Linked DNA regions of Sus scrofa. The protein of the gene in region 1 purifies or fractionates together with the protein of each later gene. This does not show direct contact. Links are inferred from orthologs where the notes say so. Each region holds a gene or a part of one and is shown on either strand. Other genes may lie near its edges.

Region 1 (4,047 bases):
TTTTTTTTTTTTATAATTGTTTATCTAAGCTTGATCAGTTCCTTAACATTAATGATTGTTCTTAATTTTATAGAAGATCATTAATGATTCACTTATAATGCTATCACCTATTCTTAAAAAAAATCTTTAGGAACCCTGAAATCGTGAAAAATTTAGTTTAGCTTTGAAGCAGTTTTTAAACTATTTTACTGATCAAGTGAAGTTTCTTTGGAGGTATTTACAATTAGTTTTTGGCATAGGTTTTTTTTTTTTTTTTTTTTTTTTTTTTTTTTGTCTTTTGTTATTGTTGCTATTTCTTGGGCCGCTCCCGCGGCATATGGAGGTTCCCAGGCTAGGGATTGAATCGGAGCTGTAGCCACCGGCCTACGCCAGAGCCACAGCAACGCAGGATCCGAGCCGCGTCTGCAACCTACACCACAGCTCCCGGCAACGCCGGATCATTAACCCACTGAGCAAGGGCAGGGACCGAACCCGCAACCTCATGGTTCCTAGTCGGGTTCGTTAACCACTGCGCCACGACGGGAACTCCGGCATAGGTTTTTAAAAAATTAAACCTACAGCTTTTTTTTTTTCTTGAGTGAAAACAGGAGATACTCATTCTTATTGAGCTTAGTTCTTTTTAATTCTAGTAATCCAGATAGCTATTTTCTAATGTCCTAGCAAATGTTTAAACATACGAATGACCCATTAACTTTAAATGTCTGAAGGCTTTTGTTTTGGTTAGGGTTTTATAAGTAGGCTGTGCCTAGTTGACTTAATATTAAATTTCAGGGATCTTTAATAAGAATAGCATTTCCATGTTGTTTTAAATTGGCTTTCACAGTTTAATTTTGGTAAAATTAAAACCACTTTATTGTAGTGTATATAAAAACTACTTTAATTGTCCTATGTTTGGTTCACTTTTTCCTCATTATTTCTATGATATTGAAGATCTGATTTGTTCTGCCACTTTAGTGACAGATTCGGAATTCACTTTTGGCAAGGAATGAGTTTAGTCTATGGACTTGCTGTGTGTATGGTTGGCTTTACTAAATAAAATAAATTTGTATTTTACTTATTTAGTTACCTAAATGATTTGGATAGAATATCCCAAACCAACTACATTCCAACTCAGCAAGATGTCCTGCGGACAAGAGTGAAGACCACAGGCATTGTGGAGACACACTTCACTTTCAAAGACCTGTACTTCAAGTAAGTCCTTAGCCTCTTCCTAGATGTATCTTTGCTCTAGTTAGTCTCTTCATCAGGGTAACATTTTTCTAGGCAGTATTCCTTGATTTAGAAACTTATGTTCATCAGCCAGTATTTGACTATTTTAAGTGTCAATGTAAACATTTCTTCTTTCTTTAAATAGCATCAAATATTTTTGTCCATTTGCAGGAATTTAAATTCAAAATGAAACTGTAACTTACATGTCAATAAAAGTAATCACATGGTTACCAATTTATTTTATTTTTAATTTTATTCTTTTCAGCTGCTTTTTTGTTGGAATCACCAAAACAGGTATTGAATGTTTGTTGTTTAGAAGGGTAACAACAATACTAAAAAGATAGAAAACCAGTGTTTTGGTTTAATTATGTGGCTTTGTTCTGGCATTTTGATGTTAAAGTAGAAGTGCTTTTTATCAGGGTCAGTCATTTCTTGGATCACACTTTAAGTTTAATGGGACGGTGCTAATATTGTCGTGGCCTTTGGTTTGTACACAGTAAGTATTATGCACAACCAGCTTCCTAATACAGTGCAGAATGAATATTGATCTGGGGCTAGAGGTATTTTGGAGAGGCATGATGACATGTAAACAATTATTGTTATAGAGAGAGAAAATTCTTGTATTCTAATGCAGTGGATTTTCTCATCAGCATTAGTAATTCTAGCTTCAGCTTGTCTCTGCGTCAACAGTCTTATGTAAATAATAGAACTGTCTTTATGGTTCCTGTCTTCTGCTTTTGTGACCTTTGAGGTTAGGAGTAAACTTTTCCCCTTCAGTGTATGATGTCCTTTTTAGCTGCTTCATTATGCTTGTATGTAGAATGCGATATTCAGCACTGTTGCATGCAAATGTAACTTCTAGCTCAGATTCTCTATTTTCTCTTGAAAAAAATTGCTTCGTGGGATTTGCAAAATTCACACAGACTTTAGGTATTATTAAATACTAGTTGAGGTCTTAAAATCTTAATACACCAAAACAGATTTGAAAATTGATACAGGAAAATAGCAGTTCAGCTGAATATTTTTAGAATAGAGGAACCGCTTATACTGATGAATTTATTTAATAAAAGTAGCAAAGGCTCCATAAATCATCACCCAAGAAACTGAAAGAATGAGATATCTCTTTGTGTGCTATAAGGTTAGTAATCCATTTATAATTATATGTTGTGACTTTTATTTATTTAGTGTGGGAAACTTTTTTGTTGATGTCATAGATTGATCTTTAGGTAGGTAAATCCTGTTGGTCTTTTTATGTCAGGATAAATAGCCAGATCTAATTAAGGTGCTGCACCCACTTTATTGCTGGCATATAGATATCTGTTATGAAGTACTATCATTTCTTCCTTTTCCTCTTCTCTCTAGGCAAAACCACTATCCATTTATTCAAACATTTATTGAGCATCTCCTATATGCAAGGCATTGTGTAATTGCTTACTTGCCTCTCAGTTATGAGGTAATGTTTATAAAATGTTGATCTGTTAGTGAATGATACTGTAAATGTTAATATGTGTGGAAAGCCCACCTTGGGAACTTCACAGGGTTCAGTTTTATGGACTTTATAGAAAAAAATGGAGAAGCAAAATGAAATTAATGGTGTACCAGTATGTGTCTCCCCTTGAAAGATCCGTGGCGAAATATATAATCTTAGCTTTCCTAAAACCTATATATGGTATGACCTTGTATTAGAACCAGTTTATGAGTGCCTCATTCCGGGTGTCAGGACTAAAGGTTGAAAAGAACTGCGTAAGATCAGCCAAAAGAAAAAGTTGGGTCATGGAGAGATGAGATGACTATTCTTTTTCAAACATACATTGAGAAATTATTCAACAGTGTCTTATTTCTCTCACTCTCTAAGGAGAAAATTCTCTGGCAATAGACTCCTAGTCACTATAGATCTGGTACAATGAACCAGCTTGGCAGAGTTTACACTTAAAACATTTTATGATTGTCATCAAACATATGTCTTAAGAGTAGCTAATCATTTGTATGCATACCTCCTAGTACTAGTTAAAAGACAAAGCAGTGCAGGTCCTCCTCTTACTCTAGATGGTAGATGAGGACACTGCTGACAGAAGTTCAGCAGCTGATTCCTAATAGCAAGTAAGCGCCCCCCACCCTGAAGGGAATAGTGGACTAACACTAACCTCGAGTGGAACATAAAGTGCGTGAACAATTGAAGCTTTGTTGTTATTGATTAGGTTAAAATAAAACTTGGAGTTAGAAAATACGGTTTAAGTTTTGGGTTTAGATATTAGGTTCTTAGAGTCTTATCCTAAAATATAATTTACTTTTTTCCATAATCTCTAAAACGTTTTCCTTAAAGTAAGAAAAATGTATTTCAATTATATCTCAATTAAAAAAAAAAGGGAAAACAAACTTTTGAATCTGGAAGCAGAAAGCAAGTTGGGGATTTATATTTTTTCATTGTTCTTTTTTTTTATTAGAGAGATAAACCATTTTGAAAGGCAGAGTGGTGTGATGGGTAAGAGTTGGTTACTGGAGTTAGAGTTCCAGTCCCCATTTGTTAGTAGTGTGCTCTTAGGTAAATTATTTAACATCTTTGTGCCTCAGTTTCTTCATCTGGGATAGTAACAGTACTAACGGGAGTGTTATGAGGGTTAAATGAGTTAATGTACTTCAGGATGTTTAGGATAGTGTCTGGCACCAGTAAACACTCAAACAGTAGTTATTATGGTTACTACCTCGAGTTTTATCATTCATCTCTTTATTTTTCTGGTCTTTTTTCCCTCCTTTCATTAATCCATTTCAGTGCTTACTCTACTGACTTTTGGTATGTATGATACAAGTTTTTGGTAATGAGGAAGCTCAACTGTTTAT
Region 2 (4,331 bases), on another chromosome or scaffold:
AGTTCGTGTTCTATGGTGCGGCCGCAGGAGTCAGGGAGCCTCTGCCTGGAAGATCCTGTGGGTCCCTTTAGAGAGACCAAAGGACAGCCGCTGCTCATCACCAAGAGCTGCTTGTGTAGAGCGACACTGCGAGTCTAGCATCACAAGCAGGGACCAGCGGCTTCTTGGTCCCCCTCAAGAAGATCCACAAAGAGACCTAAAAACAAATACTTTGCTAGTCTCTGAAAACCTGCTTCTGTTTGTATCAAAAAGTCTGCCTACATTTCAAGGAGGACATTCTGGCTTCCTGCCTGGCTGGACCTTGGAGCAGCTGGAGGCATTGCCTGAATCCCACTGGGGAGCTGATCTCCCCTTACCAGTGCAGACTGCACAAAAGCAGCGCCCACAGCTGCCTGGGAAAGCCTGGGCCAGAGCCATAGCAGGGCCTCCTGCCCACCTGGTGCAGACGCTTCTCCAGGAAACTGAGGAGGGCATGAATCACATCCATGTTCACTCCCAGGAACTCCAGGGAGCCTTCGTGTGGCTCCAGGGTGAGAAGGACATCCAGACACTTGAGGGGCAAGTTCCCCAGGAGGTTCACTGTGTGGCTGGGGACACATGGAAAGGAGGGCTGGGTAAACCCAGGCCCCCAGCACAGGCGCAACTCTTGTTGCCCCCTGCTGGGATCACACATGACCCGAACCAGTATCAGGGGCCTGAGTAGCACCAAGTACCAGAGCAGAGGGAGGCCCTCCTTGCAGACATCCCACCTCCCACACACCTGGGTCGAAACAACAGGTAGTCCAAATTGGGACCCGCCCAGGCATAGGTCACAGAAAATGAAAGTGACAACCACACTGCTCTATGGATACCACAGTGTTCAAGGTCCAGTGGCACATTCTGTCCTGAGCTCACAATTCTTGTCCTAGCTGTGTGTTCTAAGTGCTGCAGCTCTGTGGAAACACACCAATGCCTGGTCCCACCCAGTTGGATGAAAACTCTCTCTTTAGGGCTGGAAACCACCATATAGACCTGAGAGCAGACGCCCGCCCCGGTGTGCCCAACAGGCACCACCCTCACCCGTGGAACTCCTCTGTGCGGTCTCCAGCAGCAGTGACCATCACACAGTGCCGCAGCAGGGTCCCCAGGTGCCGGTAAAGTGCAGTGTCTTCCTGACCAAAGAGAAAGGGGTGCCTGTGAGAGAAAGTGCCACTCACCCCCACTGCTGCCTGCTGAACATCTACTGCCTGGCCCACGGCCAGACCTCATGCAGGCCATGCATCTCCTCCACCACACCTGGCTGCTCAGCCTCACTTATGTGACCTTAAGAGCACTCTCGTGGTTAGGGACATCAACAGGTCCCTTTGGGATGAAGTCACTCTGTGCTCTCGCCCCCCGCCCCCCGAAGAATCTCCTACAGCCTGCCCCCACACCACACAGCACTCCTGGTGTTGCAAGAGCCAGATACGCGCTCTGATTCCTCGATGCCCTTATACGGAACGGGCACCTCCCTGCCTCCTCCTGACAAGCGCTGCTGTGCAGATGTCCTCCTGGTCCGACACCCAGAAACTTGAGGGTACCTGGCAGAGAGGCAGGTCCCGGAAGCATCCTAGTTGTTAAGCCCAACCGAAGGCTGAGGCCAGCCCTCACCTCATCCACCTCCCTCTTGATGGAGTCGAAGGTGATGTTGAAAAGCACTTTGAGGATCTCCATGGCCCGTTCGGTCTCCTGGGAAGGAAGGAGTTCCGGGGGTCCCTCTCCAGGGGTCATTCCCAGCGTCAGCTCCAGTGCCTCGGTCAGCAGGTGCACTCCCTGCAGCTCCTCAAACAGCTGCCTGCGCACATCAGTGCGAAGCGCCGTTAGCAAGAAGAGGAGGCGCAAGTCAAAGAACTGGACGTCATGCGGGAAGCTGCTCTGGCGGTACAGTCTCACTCGCTCTGCGAGCCTCACCACTAGCCCCGCCTCTGCGGCGAGCACCTGTGCCACGGAGCTGCTCAGCACGAGGTTGCACAGGCACTTAAGGGACTCGAGCACAACATCCATGTCCAGAGTCTCAGGACACGACCCCTTCGAAGCAGAGATGCCAGCATAGCAGGCAAGCGCTTGCAGGCTCTGGCGGCTGGTGAACGAGTCCAGGCAGCTGCGGTCCCTCGACAGGATGCGGATGCTCTGCAGCCAGATGACTCGGCGGGAAGGTGACAAGCCCTGCTCCAGGACTGAGACCAGCAGCTCCGCCAGTCTCTGTGGGCAGGGGAATAGAGCGGTTCCATCAGGCTCCTCTACCTGGGCCACCCGTCCCTGCCCCTTTACCCTTGATAAGCACCCACCTTCCTGTCCTCCTGTTGGGCATCGTCAAACGTGAAGCTCTGGGAGTTCTGCAAACAGACCCAGAAGATTAGGAGGCACAGGTCCACCGAAGCAGAATCCGAGCTCCAAGGCCGCAGACACCGCTCTCAATAGACAGGGCTCCCTTTCCCCACGGCACCCCCAGCAACTCTTCAAAGACTCGGTGCCCCTCCCCGCCGTGCTCGCCAACACCCTCAGCCTTCCGCCACGCTCACCACTCACACCCTCCCCGCCGGCCACGCGCGCGGGACCCACCCAGCCCCACCTCCTCCCTGCGCGTCCCACGTCCATAGCTCCCGCTCACCTCCCGGTTGTAGGCGCGCAGAGCCTCCATAACCACGTCCTCCTCCCCCGTCTCTATAGCATCCACTACCGCCCGAGGCTCCATGGCGCTCCCGGGACCCCGGCCCGAGGAAGCGGAAGGTACCTCGCTCCAAGGCTCTGGGCCCCAGACGGCCCGCCCGGCCCTAGCTCGGCGCGCGGGGGAGGCCGGGAAGGGGCGTGCGCGGCGCCGCGCGGGCGGGGGCCCGGGCTGCGCGCGGCGCCGCGCGGGGCGGGGGCCCGGGCTGCGCGCGGCGCCGCGCGGGGCGGGGGCCCGGGCTGCGCGCGGCGCCGCGCGGGGCGGGGGCCCGGGCTGCGCGCGGCGCCGCGCGGGGCGGGGGCCCGGGCTGCGCGCGGCGCCGCGCGGGGCGGGGGCCCGGGCTGCGCGCGCCTTAAAGTGGAGAGGCCTAGAAGAGCCCTCGGGAATTTAAAGGCTTTGATGTCTAGTCACGTTGCCTTTCAGTGTCCGACTCAGTGGTTATCCGACCACGGGCCTGAATCGCTCCGGCTCCGAGCAGTGAATTCCCTACGGGAGAGGGCCTTAGCTTCTCACCCCGCTATTACACGCACACTACACCCCTCTTGATGTACAGAACGAATGAGATGTTCCGAGGAAAGACGAAGTGGAAAGGACTTTGCAGCCCCGGGACCACTTTGTTTATTAAGCAGGCGTTTGAGGGCCTACAGCATGCAAGGAACCAGGATGTGGGTGAACAGAACCCACAGGTCCTTGCCTTCGTGGAGCTTATATTGCAGAGGTGAAAACAAAAACGGGAAAACGGGAAGACTTTAAGCAGTCATAGTGCTGTGATTGAAAAAGGGGCCTGATGGGCTCCAAGGGGATTTGAATAAGTGTCGCTTTTGCTGAGACCAGAGGAAGAAGTGAGCCAGGAAGGGATGTGGGGGAAGTTCATTCAAGGCCGAAGGAGCCGGCAGAGTAAAGGTGGGAATGGCCGTTGTAGGAGAAAGAGATCATTGTTGGGGCTGAGAGACAGGGGAGAGTGGGGAGGGAAGGTCCAGGTCAGGATGAAGGCAAAGCCTGATCATGTGCAGGGACTTCCTGGCTGTGTAAGCAGACACATCTTCTGGCCTGGACCCAGTTCCCTCTTTTGAAAAGCAGAGATGATAAAAGGTCCCATTTCGGTGGGTTGTCAGCACTAAACGACACAGAGTGAATGCTCCATTACAGTGGGTGAATAACATATACTCCACCCACTGCGCAACAAGCCTTTGTTGAGCATCTATTTTGTGCCAGACCCCTTGTCAGTGCCCGGGTGCAAGGTCGCAGCACCGGCTCCTCCTGCCCCTAACTCCCCTCACGCTCCCACTCTTCTTCCTGATTTCCCGTTTTCCTTCAAGTGCTTCATCCCTGAGATTTTTGCAGCGCTCGCTTGTTCCAGGCACTGATCCCCTCTTTATCCCGCCGGCAGCATCTGGAGCGTGCTTCACACCGAGTCCTCGCCTTAACCGCACCGCAGCCGGGCGGGCCTCGGACCCCGGGCCGTGTCGCCGCGAGGAGCCTCTCTCGCCTGAGAAAGGGCCGTGAGCTCTTTCCAGTTAGGATTTGACACCGCCTTCGGCAGGAATGGCCGCGGAATTGTCTGTCGGCACCATGATGCTATTAAAAACGATAACCTTCCAGCAGTCCCAGGAGCGAACCAGCGGCCCTGTTCACAAGGCAGGCG

Evidence for each region. The genes of interacting proteins can lie anywhere in the genome.
Region 2: the proteins of GNAI3 (region 1) and RIC8A purify together in Homo sapiens (affinity purification with mass spectrometry; 3 studies listed by BioGRID and IntAct, counting the BioPlex papers as one, with this or other methods). This does not show direct contact. The link is inferred for Sus scrofa from reciprocal best matches to the Homo sapiens genes GNAI3 and RIC8A.

Annotation. Positions count from the first base shown.
Region 1 is NC_010446.5:110,540,727-110,544,773, reverse strand, and holds part of GNAI3 (guanine nucleotide-binding protein G(k) subunit alpha), read left to right. Parts: intron 1-1,062; coding exon 1,063-1,191; intron 1,192-4,047. UniProt on the Homo sapiens protein: Heterotrimeric guanine nucleotide-binding proteins (G proteins) function as transducers downstream of G protein-coupled receptors (GPCRs) in numerous signaling cascades.
Region 2 is NC_010444.4:30,676-35,006, reverse strand, and holds the start of RIC8A (synembryn-A), read right to left. Parts: upstream 2,837-4,331; 5' UTR 2,714-2,836; coding exon 2,630-2,713; intron 2,355-2,629; coding exon 2,307-2,354; intron 2,221-2,306; coding exon 1,630-2,220; intron 1,152-1,629; coding exon 1,060-1,151; intron 588-1,059; coding exon 437-587; intron 1-436.